Linked DNA regions of Rhinolophus ferrumequinum. The protein of the gene in region 1 binds, or shares a complex with, the protein of each later gene. Links are inferred from orthologs where the notes say so. Each region holds a gene or a part of one and is shown on either strand. Other genes may lie near its edges.

The links. Proteins that work in one complex are often made in the same cells at the same time.
Region 2: the proteins of GABARAP (region 1) and STX17 are in contact, whole or in part, in a crystal structure (PDB 7BV4), measured with the Homo sapiens proteins. The link is inferred for Rhinolophus ferrumequinum from reciprocal best matches to the Homo sapiens genes GABARAP and STX17. Residues at the interface, in NP_009209.1 of Homo sapiens: Tyr5, His9, Lys13, Glu17, Lys20, Ile21, Arg28, Pro30, Lys46, Lys47, Lys48, Tyr49, Leu50, Pro52, Leu55, Gln59, Phe60, Phe62, Leu63, Lys66, Arg67, Phe104; in NP_060389.2 of Homo sapiens: Ala169, Glu170, Ser171, Trp172, Glu173, Thr174, Leu175, Glu176, Asp178, Leu179, Glu181, Leu182.
Region 3: the proteins of GABARAP (region 1) and kelch repeat and BTB domain-containing protein 6 are in contact, whole or in part, in a crystal structure (PDB 4XC2), measured with the Homo sapiens proteins. The link is inferred for Rhinolophus ferrumequinum from reciprocal best matches to the Homo sapiens genes GABARAP and KBTBD6. Residues at the interface, in NP_009209.1 of Homo sapiens: Tyr5, Glu8, His9, Glu17, Ile21, Tyr25, Arg28, Pro30, Val31, Ile32, Leu44, Asp45, Lys46, Lys47, Lys48, Tyr49, Leu50, Val51, Pro52, Leu55, Leu63, Arg67, Phe104; in NP_690867.3 of Homo sapiens: Ser663, Asp664, Asp665, Asp666, Phe667, Trp668, Val669, Arg670, Val671, Ala672, Pro673.

The regions. Positions count from the first base shown.
Region 1 is NC_046304.1:11,589,994-11,597,579, reverse strand, and holds GABARAP (gamma-aminobutyric acid receptor-associated protein), read right to left. Parts: upstream 2,589-7,586; 5' UTR 2,452-2,588; coding exon 2,362-2,451; intron 1,805-2,361; coding exon 1,726-1,804; intron 1,586-1,725; coding exon 1,467-1,585; intron 1,003-1,466; coding exon 937-1,002; 3' UTR 926-936; exon of another isoform or gene 882-925; 3' UTR 511-881; downstream 1-510. Other genes in the region: CTDNEP1 (CTD nuclear envelope phosphatase 1), read right to left, coding at 4,284-4,344, 4,643-4,727, 5,140-5,251, 5,489-5,605, 6,022-6,093, 6,298-6,416, 6,514-6,580. UniProt on the Homo sapiens protein: Ubiquitin-like modifier that plays a role in intracellular transport of GABA(A) receptors and its interaction with the cytoskeleton.
Region 2 is NC_046295.1:55,881,956-55,889,857, reverse strand, and holds the start of STX17 (syntaxin-17), read right to left. Parts: upstream 3,014-7,902; 5' UTR 2,932-3,013; intron 1-2,931. UniProt on the Homo sapiens protein: SNAREs, soluble N-ethylmaleimide-sensitive factor-attachment protein receptors, are essential proteins for fusion of cellular membranes.
Region 3 is NC_046287.1:8,915,154-8,922,821, forward strand, and holds the start of kelch repeat and BTB domain-containing protein 6, read left to right. Parts: upstream 1-4,655; 5' UTR 4,656-4,923; coding exon 4,924-6,933; 3' UTR 6,934-7,668. UniProt on the Homo sapiens protein: As part of the CUL3(KBTBD6/7) E3 ubiquitin ligase complex functions as a substrate adapter for the RAC1 guanine exchange factor (GEF) TIAM1, mediating its 'Lys-48' ubiquitination and proteasomal degradation.

The DNA of each region.
Region 1 (7,586 bases):
CCCACTTCCGGCCAAACGGAGAAGTGGTTGCTGGAAGATGAAGTTTTCCTGGTGATAATGGTTCCCTCGTCCCAGTCTTCTCCCTCCCTTGGATTCCCCTCCACTGGATCCCATATTCTGGCACAAAGTCTGGCCAGGTGACATACATCTGAAGACAGAGTCCTTTTAGCAGCCTCCACACGCGAAAACTTCCTTAATCCAAAAGGTTGTAATAAACTTGGATGTGTATATCTAAAGCAGGTACTATCAAACTTTCTCCACAGGAACCCACAATAAAAAAGTTATTCTTTCCATAAGGACCCAATACACATGTAGATAAAGCTAAAGTTTCAAGAAACAACTCAGAGTATCTCATCCATCACAATAAAAGCACCCTTTTTATGCACAAGGAAAAGCTACCCCAACATCAACAGAATAAACTGAAATATATGACCATCCCTCCAACCTCTTTCCCACCACCGATGACTAAAAAACAAAAGGGGGAGGGAAGGAATACAAAGCAAAATCCAGTTCAGCTTGGTTTCCTCTTTATTAATGTGCCTCCTACCTTCCCCCCACAATTTCAGTCCCTTCCATCTACCCCAAAAAAAGGTAGTGAAAGGAAAGGATTGTTGGGGTTCTGAGCCCCTTGAGCAGTTAGAAAGGGAACAGAAACCAAAACAATCACTGGATGTGACAGAGATTGACAATCAAGAAGTCTAAAGCAGAGTGGGAAAGTGGTATAGAAAGGGGAAGAAAGGAGGAAGGAGAGGTACTAGAGGCCATCTCCACCCATTAACCCTCCTGCTAAGAGGGTCTGGGAAAAGAGCCTCAAACATTAGGAAGTGCAGGTCCTGAAGGGAGGTGGTGTTTGAGCCTGAAGGAGGAGGTGGTCAAGGAAGGGGGGCCACCTCTCTCTTTGTAGAATGGGACCCCCCCACTGCAGGGGCAGCAGTTTCACAGACCATAGACACTTTCGTCACTGTACGCAATGTATAGAAAGAAGTCTTCTTCATGGTGTTCCTGGAGTGAAAACAGAAAATGATGCTGCTCAGACATCTGAGCTTTAGTTACCTAAACCACCTGCCACCCAAACACATGCTTTAAAAACCATTCTTTTTGAAAACTCCCAAAACCAGTGCCTTGATTCTCTTCATCACTTGCTCCAAGCCCTAGTAGTCTAGTCGGATTATCCCTAGAAGCAGCCCTGGGCAAAAAAGATCTTCAACTGTTCTCTGCTGCTGTGGGGAGGGACTAGGGAGAGTCAGAATTAGAATACTTGCTCCAGCTCACTGTTCTCTCCCTTCTCTCTACTCCCACTGCCTGCCCAAACCCCCAACTCAGGACTATCCACAAAGTTTCAGGCCAAAGATAAAATTGAGAGCTCAGCAAGCCAGCTAGTCCAAGAACTACCGACGTAAAACTTGCTTCCTCTCACGCTCTTCCACCTCCTCTCCAAAGCCTCCATTACGTCCCAGTCCCCGTACCTGGTATAGCTGACCCATCGTGGCACTGGTGGGTGGAATGACATTGTTGACAAAGAAAAACAAGGCATCCTCAGCTCGGAGATGAATTCGCTTCCGGATCAAGAAGTAGAACTGACCAACTGCCAAAGATACAAGGTGTGATAAAGTCACAGATAGCACAAAAGCCCTCAAAAGAACAGCTGCTATGTGGAGCCTCCTCCCACAGAGATTGCACTCACACCCACAGGAAGCAAACTTGAGTATTGGGTCAGGTTCCCACCTGTGAGATCAGAAGGCACCAGGTATTTCTTTTTGTCAAGGTCTCCTATCCGAGCTTTGGGAGCCTTTTCTACTATCACCTGATAAAGGGAAGATGAAAATTAGGAGACAGTAGGTATAGCGTCCCACAGCTCCACCTGTCAGGAACTCAAGCAACAGTATTTCTAGCACGCAGACCTACCCCAGACTCAATTCTTTGTCTATGAACACGCGGTGCAGACCTGAGTAGAGATTCTAACCCCACTGACTCAACTCACCTAATCATCCAGGTCCCTGTCATAATAAATAATTACCTTCATTAGACGGGAATGACTTGTCTGGGGCGACTACAGCTTCAATCTCAAGAACTCGGGGGAATGACCATGTGACATTCAGACTGTCAAACTCCCTACAGCCTCCCACACGAATCTCAAGGTCTATCTCTCCCATCTACACCCCCTCACCCCCAGCTACCACCGCTACCCCACTCCTTTCACCTCCGGTCCCAGAGACAGCAGTTTCAGGTTCGTTCCCAACCCTGCCACAGCAGGAAGCTTGATACCCAAACTGCCCGTCCCCGACCCAAGCCCAGGCTGTGGCGTCAGCGCCAGCACCAGCGCCAGCGCCCCGCGCCCTCGGCCCTGGCTACGGTCCTCACCGGGACCCGGTCCGGGTATTTCTTTCGGATCTTCTCGCCCTCAGAGCGGCGCTTCTCGAACGGATGCTCCTCTTTATACACGAACTTCATCCTCCCGGGAACCGGGCTGGACAAGGCTGGGCTGAGGGAACCCGGGGGGGCCGGGACTGGGGGAGGCGGCGACGGCGGCGACGCGCGGGCGGATTCAGCGGAGCGATCCCAGGACTTGCGCCACTTCCCTATTCACCAACCCCGCCCCCGCCCATCAGGGGCCGCCCTGCCTGCTACATTACGCCACTAGCGCAGCAGCCCTGACGCCGCTAACTTAGCACCACCTACTGACCACCCCCCTGCCCCCGCCACGCCGTCAGCGTAATAGCTTCGGAATCAACTTGTGGGTTACGCAGGCGACGTAGCAAAGGTGGTTGGCTTTTGCTACCGTCAAAAATAACTGAAAACCCGTTTCCCGACCTTCCCCCACGAAGCTAGGGGTGAAAAGAAGCTAGGAGATAGTAATCATAACTTGAGACTTATTCATCAAAAATTCTTTTCGGACATAACGTAAAGGAAAAAGCAGAGAATTACAAGGATAGCTATTCAAGAAATGTGCTGGTACGCTAAAGACGGCCGTTGACACCAAAACAAAATAGTACCCAAATGGAGGAGGTGGCCTTCGGAAATACAGGAGCGCAGAAACGAAATATATGTTTAGAGAGATGCACAGAAAGCATAAGTACCAGGAATGAGTGGACCAAGAGGGAATGTAAAGGTCCGAAACGTTTGGGACTACGTCAGCGCGGAAGAACACCACTAGTATTTGTATCAACGAAATCATGTGATCTCAGAGAAGGGCGGAGCATCACGTGGCAGCTACAAGGAAGTAGAGCCGGCTTCGGGGAGGAGGGCGCGGGGAGCCGGAGGCGGGAGGGAGGTTAACCTGACCGGGGAGTGGACGGCCTGTGGCACAAGCTACCTGCGGGCGGCGCCCACTTAGCTTGTCTACGTCAGTCCCCCCAGCCCAGCCTCTCTCCAGCTATATGCCTTTTCTGGCATTCAGGCTTCTCCTTTCATATTTCTGTGTCTTGCTCTGGAGCTCGAGTCTTCTCCAGACATATAGCTGTACTTTTCGCTCCCAGCCAGGGCGCTGACCCTTCACTTCCCGCCAAATCATCTGATGTCAATGTTCACTACTTCATCAGACAACCCAACACCACATTTTCCCCTTACCCCTTGGGCCCAACAGCAGTCTCTCCCCTCTGCCTAGAGGGCAGGATGGATGTGAACAAAGACCCCTCCCCTTCATTTACCCAAACCCCAGAGAAGGACCTAGGGCAGCTTTGGTTTCCAAGTTATAATGCATGGTTTAAAAGAGAGGAAAGAAAAAAAGAGAAAAAAAAAAAAAAAAAAAAACTGGTTACAGGTCTGAGGAAATCTAGGAAAAAGGGAAAACAGAGGGAAAAGTAAAGGGAGGACAAGTTTGGGGAAAATCCAGTGGCCCAAATCCCAGTTTCCCACCCACAGCCCAGCCCTTGGAGTAAAGAATTAGATCAGTTTTATACAAGAGTTTTAAAAAAATCAAATCACAACAAAGCTGGCTTGGCTTCTCTCTGAGCCTCCTGGATTACCGAATGTCTGTCTCTCACTCTGGCCAGTCCTGTCTCTCCACCACAGACACAGTTTCGGCTCTCCTAGGCCTCTGCTTATGTCCCAGTCTGGGGTTTCCAAGGAGTTTGAACACGAAGTTAGAGTGAGGCTGCTTCAGAATCTAGCCCATGTGTCCATCCAGACTCCATACAGAGTGCAGGGCTCCCAGGGCAGAGAGGGGAGGGAGGGGCAGACCCTGCCCAGGCAGTCCTCACCATTGGACAGGGCATCAGACGGCATCCTGAGGGCTCACCCTCCCTTTCCCCCCCACCCCAACTCAGGTGGAGGGGGAGCAGCTGTCACCAGAGCCTATGTTGGTGAAGGTTTCGGCTCAGCACAGAACGAACATCAGCGGTGAACCTGGGATGACAATAACTTGCATTGGTAGAGTCCTTATAGTTAATATCCCCACAACACTAGTGTGAGGCAGCCTCACTGGAGATGTGGGGCAGAAATGATCACCATTTTCAGATGATGTTCAGTTTGCCCAAAACCCAACGGCTAAAAGTGATGAGCTTTAGTCTAAGACCTGGGCTCAAATGCTAAATTCTTAGGGAAGAGAGATAAGTAAGTAAAACAGGTCAAACTTTTTTTTTTCCTCTTGGGATTCCCCCACCTCCTCCTTTCCTCAGAAATCTAAGTGTCTAGCTTCCCTTACCTGAGGGCATCCAGCATTGGAAGCAGGTTGAGAAGGGCGGTGTCGCTGGGGTCACTGAACCAGGATTTGATGGGGATGGCATTGTCTAAGTTGAGTGAAAAATGCACATGAGAACAAAGGATTCAAAAGAGACAGGGTGTTTTTTTCTTTTATTTGGGAGTAAGGATCATTACTTTCAAATATATACCTTCCACCCAAACTCAATAATCTAAGTAAAAACCTTCTTGATTTATCCTCCAAAATAAAATTAAATTTCGATCACCACATATCATACTAGTGTGAGGCCTCTGGTCAAACTTATTGTCATTGTGTCTCACCTGCTTTTAAGAAATCTGATTTATGAAATGATCATGTGGGAGAGAGGGGAACGTCTCACTTAGAAGAGAAACAACTTGCATCCTGACCTACAGTAAACCAGGCATCACAACTCCACGTATTCAAAATACCTCCTCAGAACCACTTCCTGGTCCTGCCAGACTCACCACCTTCCCCCATACCTGGATGGCTCCTGTAAGCCCCCGGGGAGTTATCCAGGATCACAATGCTGGAGAGGTCACTGTGGACCACAGAGAGGTCCTTGATGTAGCTGCCCAATTCCAAAGTGCAGTGCTGGAAGGCAGGGTAAGCTGGGCATCAAAAGGAAACTCGCTCTCTGTGACTGTCCTCCCCCCCATCCCAACAACGCCTTGGGCAGCCAATTCCCACAAAGGGGATCATGCAGTATACCACCGCCCACACACATACGACTAGAAGGTCCCATTTCAGGGCAATTGCTTCCAACTCAAATCACTCCCTGGTGGTCTGCCTCTGGAGCTTCACTCTTAGACCTGGATTCTAGCCCCTTACCTGTCTGTAGTATCTCCTCTTGAGAATGCTTCTGCTATTGTCCAGTTTATCTGCCACAGCAGAGCCATAAATCTCCATGCTTGCTGTGAATACTACCAGCTCGTACCACTGGCTCACCTGAAATAGACAGGGGAAAGGGAGGTGTCAGAAGAGGTGATCATCCTTTAGATACACAGTTCCCATTCACCAGGACTGCAGCCTTGTCCTTCAGGACTTTCAGCAATATCAAATTATCTCTAAGGACACAAAATTGTGAACGCCCCCAAACTCAAGTCTTAGGCACCATACACCCTTAAGATTCAGAGATGCAAGAACAAAAGAACAGGAAGCCTGTGGAAGAAAAGAATTACATCAGCAAAACAAATGAACCCGAACTAGTGAAAGCCATTCTCCAACCATCCCACAGCCTCCCCTCTTCAAAATTGCCCTTATCCATTTCTCCTCACCCCTTACTTCCTCCAAATTCTCTAAATTCCCAGAACCCTAAAACCATTCCTTCATAACAGAGCTCCCTTTGGCTTTCGCAAACTCACCACTTCTAAGAAGAAATCCACATGGGGCCTCTTATGTACAAAAAACCGGACAGGATGTTTGTCTATTACCACCTGTAGAGGAATAGGGAAGGGCTAGGGGAAGTACTGAGCACCAGGACATGGCCTAAAGGACACCCTCCCATTGCCTGCTTCCCTCCTTCAGGCTGACACTGGTGCCAGAGGATGGGGATGGAGATGAGACATTCTGGGATTGGGAAAGGGAGTCCAGCCTAAGACGAATAACAGCCATAACCATTCCATTCCATCCCCACACACCTTAAGGATGAAATCAGGAGGTGTTCCAGGCCGGACTGTGGGCCTCAGGACCCCATCATGATGGGAGTGAATAAGTGTCTCATCCAGATCCAGCACCAGGATCTTCCTCTTCACCTGGCCTGAACCACAACAGGAAGGGAAAACATCAACCAACCTCCAGCCCAGACCTTGACTCCTACCTCACATTAGAGGAGTCTTCTCAGCCAGCACACATACCTAGCCGATTCCGGGACACAGGAGATAAGGGAAGGATATCATATCGAACAGTTTGGTACTGAATTACCTAAGAACAAGAGAGAGAATTAGAACCCTTGACAAGGAAATCTTCCCTAGTAACAATAGGTAGCACATGTTGAATATTTACTATATGTTGGGTACCGTGTACATGATTCAGGATTATTTCATTTATTTCTCAAAACAACAACAATAATATCATCTCTGTTTTAACGATAAACTGAGGCTTAGAGAGGTTAAATACCTTGCCTAAGGCCACACAGCTAGAAATTATCTTATTTAGTTGTCTGTCCCCACAGTTAGAATGCAAACTCCACGAGAGCATGGATTTTTGTCTCTATCATGGCTGAATTCCTAGAACACTGTAGCAGGGGTGGTCAGTTCATCTTAGAATCTATGAAGTGGTGCAGCCAGGATTGTATCCACGCAGTCTGACATAAGAGCTCGCCCTCTTAACCGTATTATCCTGCTATACTGAACAAAGAAATGCACAGCCCTCCCCACCTCCCCCCTAAGGATTCTTCATGACAACTCCCATCACCTCCCGCTAGAAACTGAGCTTCCTTAGTGTAGTAGGAACAGGAGTCAAGAGGGGAGGTCCTTGGGTCCCTAAGGGGAAGAGAGGTTGAAGCAATCCAGGGGTTGTCAGGTCAGCTAAGTTCCTCTGGCTGGGGGCCACCAGGCCTATTTTAACCAGCCACCTGTCCATTTCTGTCTCTAAGAGCCAAGTCACAAGTTGCAAAGAACCTCAGCCCTTTCAACAGCCTCCTTTTCCTGGTACCTAGGGCAAGGCAGAGAACGCTGGAAAGCCCCATCTGCCAAGCTGACTGACAGGGTGTGTGGAGAAGGCCACAGTGAAGTAAGGGCTGTGAGTGAGAAGTGAAAGGACAAGGACATCACCCCTCAGCCTTCCAGCTTCTCCAAGCCTTCTCTAGAGGCTCCTATTTCTAATATTCGGATCTCCCCCATGCAAACCCTGGTAATTCCCTCCTCTGCTCTTTCCTTTGAAGGCACCAATGCTTTTCAGTCCATCCCTAGAGCCTTCCCCAGAATCA
Region 2 (7,902 bases), on another chromosome or scaffold:
CCAGTAAAATAATGGCTTACAGCTGAAAGAGTTGCAAGGTCCAATCTCTATATAAGAAGGAGTTTTGGGAGAAATCCAAAGACAACAAAGACGCTAGAGGAAATGGAAGCCTCTGATACCTACTGGTACCGCAAACATGAAACACAATCCAGCTCCTAAACAGATTAATGTAAAACCTTACCTTAAATGCTTAATCACCTCAGTTTTCACTACCAGATATATTATATTTGGTTTTCAACAAAAATTACAAGGCCTATTAACAGGCAAGAAAAGTAATAGTCTACAGAGACAAAGCAAGGATCAAAACCAGACTCAGATATGGCAAAGATTTTGTAATTATCAGTCAAAGAATTTAAAATAACTATGAATGATATGCTCAGGGGTCTAATGAAAAAAGTTGAGAATGTGCAAGAACAGTTGGGTAATGTAACCAGAGAGGTGGAAACTCTTAAGAAAAAAATCAGAAGGAAATGCCAGGAATGAAAAACATTGTAATGAAGATGAGGAATGCTTTTGATGGACTTGTCAGTAAACTGGACATGGTCCCAAGGAAAAAATCAGTGAGCTTGAAGATATATCAATAGAAAATTTCCAAATTAAAATGCAAAGGGGAAAAAAATGAAGAAAAAAAATCAGAACAGAATATGTAAGAACTGGCACAATTTCAAAAGATGTAACATATACATAATTGGAACACCAGAAGGAGAGGAGAAAGAGAATGGAATGGAAGAAATATTGTAAGTAATAATGGCCAAGAATTTTCCAAAGTTAATGACAGACACCAAACCACAGATGCAGGAAGCTCAGAAGAAACCACACAAGAGAAATGCCCAAAAATCTACACCTAGCTATATCGTATTCAAACTAAAAAGACCCGAAGACAATGAGAAAATCTTGAAAGAAGCAAGAGGAAAAGCATCACCTTTCCTATAGAGGAAGAAAGATGAAAATTACATCAGAAACCATGCAAACAAGAAGAGAGCGGAGTGAAATATTTAAAGTGTTGGTAAAAACAACAACAACAACAACAAAACACAAACTTGGAATTTAATATCCAGCAAAATTATCCTTTAAAAGTGAAGGCACTCAGGATGGCTGGTTAGCTCAGTTGGTTAAAGCATGGTGCTGATAACACCAAGGTTGCCGGTTTGATCCCCACATGAGCCACTGTGAGCTGCGCCCTCCTTAAAAAAATGGGGTGGGGGATGGAGAAAGATATACCATGCTAATTAATACTAATCAAAAGAAAGTGGGAGTAGCTATATTAATTTCAGACAAAGCAGACTTCAGAACAGGAAAATTGTCAGGGATAAAGAGGGGCACATTGCATAATAATAAAGGGGTTAAATTATCCAAGAAGACATAACTATCCTTAATGTGTATGAGCCTAACAACAGAGCTTCAAAATATGTGAGGCAAAAACCAATAGAACTTCAAGGAGAAATGTCAGAGTGCCTTGCAAATAGGATATGAGAGCAACAGTGCAAAAATTAAGTTCATGAAAGTTACCATTTTTTCCAAGGGCAGCAGGATTGTTATAGAAGAGCTAAAAAAGTATAGCAATAGAGCAAAATGATTTCCAAGATACCAAATCTTTCTAGATTTCTGTTGAAGAAGCTGCCGGAACTCTCTTTTATAGGATTGTAGAATCTGCCCTCAATCCTTTGACAACTAACACTCTCACCAGTAAACCTTTTAATCCCCCAACTAATGAAATGTATTTCAGGAATTGGAAATCAACAGAATTCACAATGAGCCCCAACCTCCCTCTTCTCAGCCCATCAAACCCCCAAATTCCATTGTCATACCCCCAAGGGGATTTTTTTCCTTTCTGTAGGCCTCACTGGATTGTAGGTGCTTTTTGAGTGATACTTATGTTTCCACTAGCCAAAGGCATATTAACTTTAATATTTCTTTGGCAGATTATTACCAAAGAAAGAACTATTGCTTGCTATATGGAAATAAATTGATAGGTTCAACAACTGTCACTTTTTTAAGATAAGTAAACACATCAGAAGAGAAATGTTTCAAGCCTGAGCAAATGGCTTTAAATATGGAAATTTTTTTTCTAAATCCCTATGCTCAAACATTAAAGGACATAATTGCTAAGTTTGAATCTTTCCAACATCTGGTAGATGCTTTCCCATTCAGCCAGTAAGTCTACACTGCAACATGCCAGCCACTGTGCTGAGTCCTGGTGATTGAAAGTTTAAAAAGATCCCATTCCTGTCCTCTAGGGACTCACAATGTGGAAGGAAAGACAGACATCTCAATAAATACATTTTACAAGCACTATTATTAGCTATCCCTGCAGAAGTGCTGTATAGAAAGAGGCACAGAGAAGGTGATTTCAGAGTTTGACCAATAGATAGGAGTCGTCAAAGAAGGGAGGAAAGAGCATTCTGAACAGAGAACATATGTAAACAGCACAAAGAATGCAACAGAGGTGCGTTCAGATTCCTAAAAGTAGTGGGCATTCAGCAGAGAACAGGTTGCCAGAGCGCAGGATGAGTAACTACCTCAGATGCATTTATCCAAGTTCATGTTGATCATGTTCCCATTTGTTTCAGATCTGGTTATGCACTATTGAGTTTTAAACCTTTGTTGTGGCCCACTCCATCTAAGACACGTGTCATGCAGACTCATACACCTATCTATTCCTCACGGGGGCTTCTGAGGCTCTCCAAGTTTTCATTTAAATTTACAGCATCATAGCCCACCATTTTTTGAAGTTCCACCAGGTTCCTATAACTTCCTACCATCCCATCCACTTCCTTACTCCTATGCCTTTGCTCAAGCTATGCCTCTCTATGGAATGCTTTTTGCCTCCTTTTCATTGATCAAAATTTTATTTTTCCCTGAAGACCCATCTCAAATCCCTTCTGTCCCCCCATACCTTTCCTTATTTCCCCAGCCTGTGCTCCCACGTACCTCAATTTAATTTTGCTCTGCAGTGCAGTCCTTCACATATCTGTTTTTTCCAACTAGAGCAGAAACTTGTTGAGGGCACAGGCAACTTGTGTTATTTATTGTGTGTTCCCAGCCCATGGCCTGGAATGTGGAGCTTGATAAATATCTCTTTTGAATGACATGTTGTCTCATCACCTTTGTGATCTCATTGGTCCCTTCTCTAGTTTCACAACTGAGTTGCTCCAGCTGGGCAAACCTTCTGAAGCTCAGTTTGTCACTGAGGGTGAGATCAGAGGAGGAATAAGAACACCACCAGAGGCATAGATTCGCAACGCTGATGGCACAACGAAGCCACTTGGGGACCTTTTAAAAAATATAGTTGCCTAGTCCTCACCTTCAGAGATCCTGGTTTAATTGAAATAGAAACCAGGCATCAAAGTATTTTTTTAAGGTTCTCTAGGTAATTCTAAAGTGCAGTCAGTTTTGAGAACCACAGTCCGAAAGGGCAGGTGGGAATAGTCACCAGGCCCCAGATAGGAATTAGAATAATTTCTAATTCACTGTTCTCAAAAGATGAGGCTTTCCTCAGGAAAACATAGCTAAAAGAATGGAGGCCACACATGCCAGGTAAAGTTGACTTTTTCTGGGGAAATCTTTGCCACAGGAGTCAGAGTTACGCTGTGAGAGGAGTCACCCCTCGGGCCTGGCCCTGGTCTTCACATTCCCATTCAGTATGCCTGGAGAATCCCATTGTGCCCCACACCTATGCGGGTATCTTTAACAGGAAGTGACAGCCATTAAATGAACTGAAATAAAAACACCAAACACTAAATCGTCAAATGAGTTATGAAAGCCTGAGAGTGTCCGGTTCCCTTGAGGGTCTCCAACATGGATGTCCCCTATGGCGCTCAGTCAGTGGAATGGAGGGAAAGAGCCAGACACAGAGGGGAGGACCCCTTCTTGCACAACTCCAAGAATACCATGCATATTGTATTCCATGTGAAGAGTATCCCCTGGAATTGTGTAATGCCACATCTTGACACACGGATTTTTTTCTGTCCTCAGACCCAGGAGATTCCTGGTAGTGGCCTTTATCTTGGTTCTGTTCCCAGCCTTCTTCTGGCTTGAAGCTGTCACTTTGAGCCAAAGTGAGGAACGAAGAGCTTCATCATCAGAATACCTCTGCTGGAGTCTTTTCCTACCTGATGATGTCATCATCAGAAATTTCCCTAACTGGCAGCTTTTGTCAACACATCTCTGATTCACCTGATGTGTTACACTATTGTGGTGCACTCCAGCCAGAATCGGTCCCTAAGTGTGTCAGTGCCGCAGAGTTTCAGAAAGGGTGTCAGTTTCTCCTCAGCATCACTACACTTTGGCCTTATTACTTAAAGTATACACAGAGGAAGAAAGTACATATTTCTAGAATTTGGTTGGTGTGGGGTTTTGTTGAAGGGAAATCAAATTTAACAATCTACGAGCAAAGAAGAGCTAAATTGACATAGTGGTATCTATAAAAAATTATCCCAGCAGCACCTGGCAGAGAGTAGGGACCTAGAAGTTAGTTTCTGTTGTTCTTGGAGGATGATAAAATGAGTGTGGTAGTAGTTGTGGGTGGTGTAATCTGAGTATATTTTTAGAGAGTGTGGAGAGAGCAGCAGGGTCCTCAAGGTAAGGAGAAGATTATTTTTTTCTTTAAACAATGTTGTGGGAATGAAAAAGAAATAGGAACTTAGCATGAGAAAGTGTTTTTGTAAACTGTAGCACTATATAAAATGTATGTAGTTACTAGTCACAAGAGATGTATAAACCAAATGCCACAAGGGTTTAAAGGAGAGGAAGAAACCACATCCCGTTATGGAAATCAGGAGGAAATGACATTTACCACTTAATAAGGAGGTACCTTCTTCAAGAAAGATGTCTTCTGCATGGTAGAGCAGGGTCACGATCACTGTTTGGCCCACAAAGCAAGCTGGTTGTGAGAATAGATTACAAGTTTTGTGTCAACCATAGAGCACCATACAAATACAAAGTGATGTTATTGTAGTTATTTTTGGTGATGGAGACGTTATCATCCTTATTATGGACTTTGAAGATACTGGTAACCATTCAACAGGTAGAGTTGTCAGGGGAAAACCGTACAGGTAGAGAGATGAGGGCTGGAGAAAGTTCCACAGATTTTCTTGGCTGATGGAGAATCCTTCTGTGTAATATAACATCTTTGAGCGTCGGTTATCACCTATTCTATCACAAAGGTCTGTGACAATGCTGGCAACACAATGTTGAATAAGAAATGCTGTCTGCCTTCAGGGAGCTCACCTCAATTTGGTTTTAAGGATGGCCTCAAATGGCAGAACAAAAAATTTATAGGGAATGGAGAACTTTTTAGAGCAGAGGAGTGAAATGGTCTGAGTTGTACTTTAGGTACTCCTGACCAATTATGTAATTCCACTTTAAACCACCTCAGTGTACCACCAGGAAATATTTTAAGTTAGCAGGTGAGTGATTGAGCTTTTCTACCCTCAGACTTCAGAACCTAGAATGTCTCCCCCCTCTAAATAGACTTTATTTTTTAAACTTTATGAATCAGGGACTTGATTATGTCCTTCTTTTCAATGGTTGTTAGAATGCCTAAGTCAAATTTAACAAGTACATGGGACTTCACAGCATGAATGTGAATACTTACGTCAGCCCTGGCTTACTTCTCCCACATTTGTTTTCTTTTTAATACTTCCTTTAATACTTGCTTATAAAATATCTTATTGAATTATATGGAGTTTTGTAAATCATCTTTATTCCTCCTGAAATAAGGTTAAATTATAAGTAAAGATCATTTCTTTTTTTTTTCTTTTTCTTTTTTTTACTTCTTATTCAATTAACTTCTGATATAGAGTATTTGAAATGTCCCCTGGGAAAATTTGCATGGATGAGGCATACTGGAAAAGTAACATTACATTCATTTCTTTCTGGTACTACTTTTGATCTTCTAACTTTTAAAATTTGGTTCAAGTCATGTATAAGATAACATTTGAATATAATGTGAATCTATTGGTAACTGAATATTTTTGCATTTAGAGTTAAAGTTTGAATTTTGTTTTCAAAAGAATTTAAGAGAAGATACAAACTTAAAACTATCTAAATCTTTGTTCCTATGTGTTTTAAAAATTCTATTTAAGTTTAAATAAAAGAGCTAAGATTTGTACCCTATCAGAACATTAGAAGATAAAATCTGTTATCCCGATTTTTAAAAATCATATATATATAAATGCATTTAAAGTGGAATGAAACCTGTTCTATTACTAAAAGATATTGGTAATGCTCGGATCACATTGCTAAGTCAGAAGAAAGGAAGATATAGAAAAGTCTGTATGTCTTCCTATATTCAATCTCCCTTATCATTTTAAACTTGCATTTTTAAACATTTGAAAGCAAGATAATCTGTAAAAATTCAAAAGTAGTAAGGACATTTTCCTCCATTAGAAAAATCCCTGTTTAGAGATTGCTTTTAGGGCCAATTTATAAGACCCTCAACTAAATCTGTTTCCTTGGTTTATGTGTAGACCCTTAATCTTTGCCTTCCTTACTTCCCCACCCTCTCATTCAATTGACTAGGTGATCAGAGTTCATCTTTTTTTCTTGTTTTTAATAGACTTGACTGTTTCTAAAAAATTAAAAAATTCTTCAAAGGACAGTGACTTTCAACCAGTAACGAAAGAAAGTAAACTTCAGAATGGAATTCTGAAAGCAGAATTTAGATATGTTTGCAGTAAAGGCAATATTATCAGAACTGAAAAGTTGCCTTCAGGGTTACTACAGGAGGTGGAGTGGGTATTGGTCAGATCAGCTCACTATAGTTTCACCCAGACTTCCGAAGAACACATTATTGCTGCTGCGTTCACTGGTTTGGGGCATAGAAAATTAACTACCATCCAGTTGATTTTATGATTTATATTTGAGTTTGATCTTAAATCTGATAAACTAATACATAAATATGTCTGGTAATAATCCAGCCTACAGTATAACTGATGAACTGGTTGAATGGCTGATGCCTTTGTAGTAAACTCGTGTTGCTTCCTCAGGATCGCTGCTTTCTTTTCGATGCCCAACAAACAATCTGTCTAAACGTTTCAGAGGTTTATGTTAGACTTACTTCTTTTTCTGTCCTTTCAGGCTCAAATCATTTCTCTATTTAGAAAAATCAGAACATACGCTTGTTTCTTCTCACCTCTATGATGTCTCATAATGCCTCAGAAGACAATCAGCAGTGTTTGTGTTTCTTGTATATTATGGGATAGAGTATATCTGAGTTTAGAGATTGAAAGTCATGCAGAATAATTAAGGACATTCTTCCTCCTCATACATCTTGAGCCATGGTTCTCTACTGTTGTGGTTTGTCTAACCCTTTTGAGTTCCTAGTATACTTCCATTTGCACCAGAAGACAATGGAAATTAAGTTGAAATTGAATATAAAATATCAGATCTAGTAAAGCTATTAGATCAAGTCCAGATAAAGACACAGTGAGGGATGTAATCTGTCTTGTTCCTTATGGAGACAAGTGCATTGGGCTATAGCAAATCTAATACTATTAAATACTGGACTCATGTTCTAATTCCCTTTCTTCTGAGTCTATGCTTGTGTGCAGCAGACTTTTGATAATATTTTGGCTTTTTGTGTAGATCTATCTATAGATGAGTAATATACTTATCAGAGGATCCAAGTCCCTAGTTATAAGTTAATAAACAAACTTTTTATACATCAGGGTGTATTAGTGGGTTTCCACCTGAGAGAGAGAAAGTAGAGTGAGAGAGAGAGAGGGAGAAAGAAATCCACTCTTACCATGCTGTTAAATCAGGTTCCCAGGTGTAGCCCTGGGAACGTGGAGATCACACCAGGGTACTCTGAGGCCTCTTTGGGCACCTAGCAACTCTTCAGCTTGGGATACTTTGATTCCATCTTGTTGCTAGTTGTCCACAAACACCTGCTCCGTGAAG
Region 3 (7,668 bases), on another chromosome or scaffold:
TTCTAAGCTCCTTATGTGCAAAACCAGCAAGACTTGGGGCCGGTTGAATCCCTGAGAGTTTGGCTAGTTTGAATTTCAGAGCATTGTTGGCCTGTTTTATTTTTCCAGAGGATTAAGGGTGGTAAAGATAGTAACATTTTAGACTATGAAGTGAATTCCTCTATCACAAGTGAGGAACAAAGGGATCCCCACATGAGGAAAATTCTGGTAGCAACTTATCTACAGTTGAGGCAGTAGCCTGTTTGCAGAGAAAAGCTTCTAACCATCCTGGAAACAAGAATGTGCGTATCCTTTTTGTGTGTGTGTGTATAAAAGGGGGAGAGGGAAGTGAGTACTTGGAGAGTCCACAAGCAGGAGAAGAGGACACAGAGGTTTTCAGATTGAAATGCAGACATGGAGGGCGAGTCCCAATTAGGGTGATCTGCGTGGTTTCTTAGTCCTGGCCTATAAGGCAGAGCAATAGTGAAAAAGCTAGGGATCCAGTTCCAAGAAGAGCCAAATAATCCCAGAAACCATCAGAATTGTCTTTCAGTCTCAGGAAATGGATAATTGGTGACGGTGTTAATACATTTAGGGGACAAAGTCTTCTCTTCAATAGTGATAGCATGTCCTAGATAATTCTCTTGAGGGGGCCAAATAATTGCATTTTGTTTTTAGAAACTGTATGTCCATTGTGCACAGAAGCTTGGAGCAAATGAGTTGTCATAATCAGGTGAGCAGAGAAGGTCACCTGCATATTAGATAAGGAAAGAGTTGCAGGGAAAGGTTAAATTGCTCAGGTTTGCATTTAGGTAACCTGAGGTAACTATTTAACGAGGTAACCTGAGTTTAACTATTTTATTGCTTGCAAACGTTGGACTAGCCAATATTCCTTGCCATTTGGATTCTTTACTGTGGGGGGAGAGGCCAGAGTATTACAGGATGTGTCAATCAGGCCTTGAATCATAGGTTGAAAAGTTTGGAGGGCTTCTAATTTTAAATATGTTATGGAAATCTTGGGAGTGCCATGGAAGGGTCTAGTTCTACTTCGAGAGTTTTGGCCTCCCAGGTTTGGCTTATGTCAGTGGAATGAGCAGCCCAGAGGGAGTCAGGTGTTTTAGTTAACATAGTTTGTACTTTAGTGTTCGGGGTGCTTTCCAGGCGCAAGAAAAGTCTGTTGGTTAATGAGAATCATGAAAGGGCAAACACACATAGGTGTGGAAGCAGGGGCTTCCAGGGTGAGGCACTTGGGAGAGCAAAAAATATTGATATCCTACTGGAGAGTAAATCTCTGCCCAGAAAGACGACTTGGACGGAGGAGCTAAGCAGAAAGCTATGCTGTGTAATGAGAAGTATCAGTGAGGCAAAGAGAGAGTTAGAGAAAGGCAAGTCGTGTGGTAGATTAAGTCCCACGGCAGGTATCGTATGTGTACTCCAAGGGAAGGAAATAAAAGGTATTTGTATTAGTTTTCAAGGGCCGACATGGTACTTTGTTCCATACTGCAGATGTGGTGGCTTCAACAAAAGAAACTTATAATCCCACACTTGTGGAGGCAAGAAGTCCAAGATCAAGATGTTAGCTCCTTCCAAAGACTCTGAGGGAAAGCTCTGTTCTAGGTCTTTCTCCTTGGCTTGCAGATGTCCATCTTCTCTCTCTGTCTCTCCACATCATCTCCCTTTTATGCATGTCCTAATTTCCCCCATTTGTAAGGACACTAGTCATATTGGATTAGGGCCCACCCTCATGAACTCACTGTAAACTTGGTTGCCTCTGTAAAAACCCTGTCTTCAAATAAGGTCACACTTTTAATTACTAGGGTTTTGGACTTCAATATATGAATTCTGGAGGAATAATTGTGTTAATGGTGAAATTGTTGCCCTTGTGTCCACCAGGATGGTGGCGGGATATCCATTGATGGCAATGATTATTACCCCTTGCACATTAAGAGTTAGTTTTTCACCAAAAAAGGAGAGTGTCTCCGAGGAAAGTCCTAAATGATGGTTTTTTAGTCTTTTTTTTTTTAGATTTTTTTTTAACTTAAAAAACAAAATTTATTTAAGTGTGTTTTTTCAGGACCCATCAGGTCCAGGCCAAGTAGTTGTGATCGAACCTTGTTGTTAAGAGCACTGCACTCTAACCAACTGAGCTAACAGCCTGCCCTGGTTTTTAGTCTCTTGTTCACTTTTGCATTTTGAGACCAGTTAATACCAAGGCTTACGTGCCTTTTCAGTATCTGTAATAATCTCAGTTTTGGAGGGAGCAGATTATCCCGGCATGTTTCCTTCAAATTAAGTTGTAGTCTTCAGTTTGCATTGTTTTGATTTGGCCTTTTCTGCAACAGAGTCCTTGTGATGTTCACCTAATGTACGTATTTCAGAGAGAGAGAGAAAGATCACCTCACTAATTTCTAATATGTTTTGAATAATATCTGTAATTTCTGGTCATAGCCTTAATGAAGCTAGCGACCAAGGTGGAAAGGTTTCAGTCATTTAGAGTGACACCAGAGTAGTCCTTCCGAACATTTTCTAAACTATGTCCATAGTTAAAGACAGATTGATCTCTTTGTATTTTGTAATCTCCTATCTTTGACCAATCAGTTTTTGAAGGAAGACAGTGGGAATGAATTCTAAAAGTGGTTTTAGCCTGTATGTAAGCCTTGGGGGTGTTCTGATTTATTTCATTGATTGTTTGCTTGAACAGTGGCCCATTTGGCTTTTCAAACAATAAAGTGGCATCTCTGGGACCCACTAGTGGTAGCACAAGTTGTTATAAATCATGGGTCCCAAGAGACTATGTCCTGAGGATCGGTATGAATTGATAACTAGATTCTTCCCTATTTTTATGGTGGTCCAGAAAAACTTTAAATAATAACATGTAATAAAAACTTTAATAATAACATGTAAATCTGAGCCAGATTAAGGATTAAAGAATATTTGCTTAGGGGTCCTGCCTGAGACTATGGACTCATGATAAAAGAGACAGTCGTTAAGAGACTGTACAGTTTGAAATAGACTGGAGACATTTTATTTTTCAGCCTCCTCATACCAACCAAAATAAGCTGACCATTGGTGAGCCAAGATCTTAGCATCCCAAGATTTGAGGGCACCTTGTAGATAGACAGGCTTAGGGAAATTCCAAGTGAACCAAAGGGGGCTATTGGAGTTGTAAGTTGTCTTTAGTAAAATCCTGCCATTTTTGGAGGTAACGATCTGAATTTTCACCTTAGTGGTGAAGCATATAATTGGTGGGAATTTTGAACAGCATTGAATAGTGGATTGAGAGTTTCCCATAATACTAAGGTTAAACAACAGCTAGCAACAAAACCAAACCTAGAGATGGCTGGAGGCAGTTCCTTACAAAACAAAACATAGTCTTATCTAGCATCCAGCAATCACACTCCTTGATATTTACCGAAATGAGTTAAAAACTTATGTCCATGAAGAAAACCAACACATTTTATAGCAGGTTTATTCACTATTTCAGAAATTCAAAGGAAATAAAAATATTATTCAGTAGCTGAATGGATAAGTAAACTGGTATATCCATACAATGGAATAATAATAAATATAATAATAATAAAAGAAATGGCTATCAAGCCATGAAAAGACATAGAGAACTGAAATGAATATTGCTAAGTGAAAGAAGATATCTTAAAAGGGTACACATTGTATGATTCCAACTATATGACATTCTGGAAAAGGTAAAACTATATAGTCAGTAAGAAGAGCACTGGTTCCCAGTGAGTGGGGAGGAGGAAACATAAAACAGATTGAACACAGAGGATTTTCAGGGCAGTGAAACTATCCCGTATGATACTGTAATGGTAGATACATGATATTATATGTATTTTTTTCAGAACCCATAGAACTGTAGAACACAAAGAGTGAATGAACCCTAATATAAATATTTTAACATATATCACTATGAGTTTATCACTTGTAATAACTACGTATACTAACGCAAGCTGTTCACAGGAGAAAATATGAGGGGGTGGACTATATGGGAGTTCCTTGTAACTTTCTGCTAAATTTTCCAGTAAACCTAAAACTATTCTTAACAATAAAATCTATTATTTTAAGAAAATCAAAACTTAAAGGCATCTCTGCAGAAACCTGCAGGGTTTAAATTTTTTTCCTACAGGCTCATGATTTTAAATGAGTGGGTACTTCATTTTTCATAAATGCTAGAAGAAAAGCTAAAACTTAGTGAACCTTTAGATTATAGATACTGAGTAAGTACTTTATTGTTTTACTAATAAATGCGTATGTATTCAGAAAATAATATATATCCTATGCAATTTATCTCATTTAATTGTCACATAACGCTATGAAATACTATTGTTATTCACATTTTTTAAAAACACAGGAGACAGTTCTAGTATTTATCAATTGTTTACCAAAAACAATTGATAAATACTAGAACGGGCATCTAATCTGGATTCCTAACCGAAAATTCTACCGTAACACCAAATTGGAGATAATTAGCGATTTCTAATTCGGTCAGCTGAAACAACGGCCGAGAAATCTCGCGATACTATTGAAACTACTACTCCCACCATGCAAAGCGGCTTGTGCCTATCTGCCTATGTCCGTGGATCGGGCGGCCCGGCATGCCTCGAGGCGCGAAAGGCTACCTGGGCACCGTAGTTCTCCTGGACACATAGCGGTATCGCCAGCGCTGGTGGCCGCAGCGCTCTCGGTTCTCCCGGGTCCAGAGAGGGTGAACCGAGACAGAGAAAGGGCGCGGAACGGGAAGAAGGTGAGTCTGCACGGTGTATGCGATAAAGGGAGGTGGCACCGCGGCACAAGGTTGAATTAGGTAAATGGACTCGTGCTGCTATCTCTCCGGAGATACCGTTATCTTTGGGCTGGCGAGAGTCCGGTGAGGAGCCATAGCCTGGTCCTTACACCAGTTCTCACCTCAGCACCGCGGCCATCTCCACCATGCAGTCTCGGGAAGACGCTCCGCGCTCTCGCCGCCTCTCCAGTCCCCGTGGTGGGAGGCGGCCCAAAAGGATTCACAAGCCCACGGTTTCAGCTTTTTTCGCGGGCCCTGAGGAGCTGAAGGACACGGCCCATTCTGCAGCCCTGCTGGCACAGCTCAAGTCCTTCTACGACGCGCGGCTGCTGTGTGATGTGACCATCGAGGTGGTGACGCCTGGCAGTGGGCCTGGCACGGGCCGCCTCTTCCCCTGCAACCGTAACGTGCTGGCTGCCGCGTGTCCCTACTTCAAGAGCATGTTCACCGGCGGCATGTACGAGAGCCAGCAGGCAAACGTGACCATGCACGATGTGGATGCCGAGTCCTTCGAGGTGTTGGTCGAATACTGCTACACGGGTCGCGTGTCGCTAAGCGAGTCCAACGTGCAGCGCCTTTATGCAGCCTCGGACATGTTACAGCTCGAGTACGTGCGGGAAGCCTGTGCCTCCTTCCTAGCCCGCCGCCTTGACCTGGCCAACTGCACCGCCATTCTCAAGTTCGCCGACGCCTTCGACCATCACAGGCTGCGCTCACAGGCCCAGTCCTTCATCGCCCACAACTTCAAGCAGCTCAGCCGGATGGGTTCGATTCGGGAGGAGACCCTGGCAGATCTGACTTTGGCCCAGCTGCTGGCCGTGCTGCGCCTGGATAGTTTAAACATCGAGAGTGAGCAAACGGTGTGTCACGTGGCGGTGCAGTGGTTGGAAGCGGCTCCCAAGGAGCGGGGTCCCAGCGCTGCGGAAGTCTTCAAGTGTGTCCGCTGGACACACTTCACTGATGAAGATCAGGATTACCTGGAAGCGCTGCTAACCAAGCCCATTGTGAAGAAGTACTGTCTGGACCTTATTGAAGGGGCCCTGCAGATGCGATATGGTGACATACTGTACAAGTCTCTGGTGCCAAAGCCAGAGTGCAGCAGCAGCTCTGTTGTTTCTGCAGCAGAAAATCCACCCCAGAGGCTGGGTGTGTGTGCCAAGGAGATGGTGATATTCTTTGGACATCCCAGAGATCCCTTTCTCTGCTGTGACCCCTACTCCGGCAATATTTACAAAGTGCCGTCACCTTTGACCTGCCTTGCTCACACTAGGACTGTTACCACCTTAGCTGTCTGCGTCTCTCCAGACCATGACATCTATCTAGCTGCCCAGCCCAGGAAAGACCTCTGGGTGTATAAACCAGCCCAGAACAGTTGGCAGCAACTTGCAGATCGCTTGCTCTGCCGTGAGGGCATGGATGTGGCATACCTTAATGGGTACATTTACATCTTGGGTGGGCGAGACCCTATTACTGGAGTTAAATTGAAGGAAGTGGAATGCTACAGTGTTCAGAGAAACCAGTGGGCACTGGTGGCTCCACTACCCCATTCTTTTATCTCCTTTGACTTAATGGTAATTCAGAACTATCTTTATGCTCTCAACAGCAAGCGCATGTTCTGCTATGACCCTAGCCACAACATGTGGCTGAAGTGTGTTTCTCTTAAGCGCCATGACTTTCAGGAAGCCTGTGTCTTCAATGACGAGATCTACTGTATCTGTGACATCCCGGTCATGAAGGTCTACAATCCAGTCCGAGCAGAATGGAGGCAGATTAATAATATCCCTTTGGTGTCAGAGACCAGCAACTATCGGATCATCACTCATGACGAAAAATTGTTGCTGATCACCTCTCGCACCCCACAGTGGAAAAAAAACCGGGTGACTGTGTATGAATATGACATTAGTGGGGACCAGTGGATTAATATAGGTACCACATTAGGCCTCTTCCAATTTGATTCTAACTTTTTTTGCCTCTCAGCTCGTGTTTATCCTTCCTGCCTTGAACCTGGTCAGAGTTTCCTCACTGAGGAAGAAGAGATACCGAGTGAATCTAGTACTGAATGGGATTTGGGTGGATTCAGTGAGCTGGATTCTGAGTCAGGAAGTTCAAGTTCTTTATCTGATGATGATTTGTGGGTACAAGTAGCACCTCAGTGAAATACACAGGATCAGCAGGGTTTGTTGTACATAGGTTGAAACATTAAGGTGGTTTCACTGCTTTGGAAAGTATCTTAAAGAAATACCTGTTCCCTTTACTGTAGGAAAAGACAGTTGGTTGATTTCAGGTTTGGTTTAGAAAGGGTTTTGTTTGAACTAATGTAATTTAATGTTAGAGAATTTGAGCACTCCAAAAACAACCTATTTAATAATTTACTGTTCTAAAAGTCTAGTATTGATTTGTTCAGTATGTTTGTTAGATTATGCTGATTTAGTTTTCTACTGTTAAATCTTACATTCTGTTTAGTGCCACAAATACAGTAACTTGAATTTTAATTTTCATAATAGAAAACTTATTGGATAGGAATTACTAGATAGGGTTTTGAAAGTATATTTTTCTTCAGAACAGTGTAGTAGATTTCCAAAACTTTAGTGGGTTTTAACAAAGTGTGTTCTAACTTAAATACAGTTTGCTAAGTTTTAGTTTAGTTTTCTCCCTTTTTGAGAAGGAAAAAAAATGCATATATGTTTAATGTGACTGAATGTTGATTTCATTTGAAATACTGTTCAGAATGGTCGTAAACTCACTGGTAATAATAATAATAATAATAATAATAATAAACAGGAGTCTACTGTTTGAAAGGAAATTTCAGTTTTAAATTTGTAATATAAAATGTGTATTTGCAGATAGTGACCAATTTTCCATCTGGAAAATATTCCATTCTAGCAGTGCCA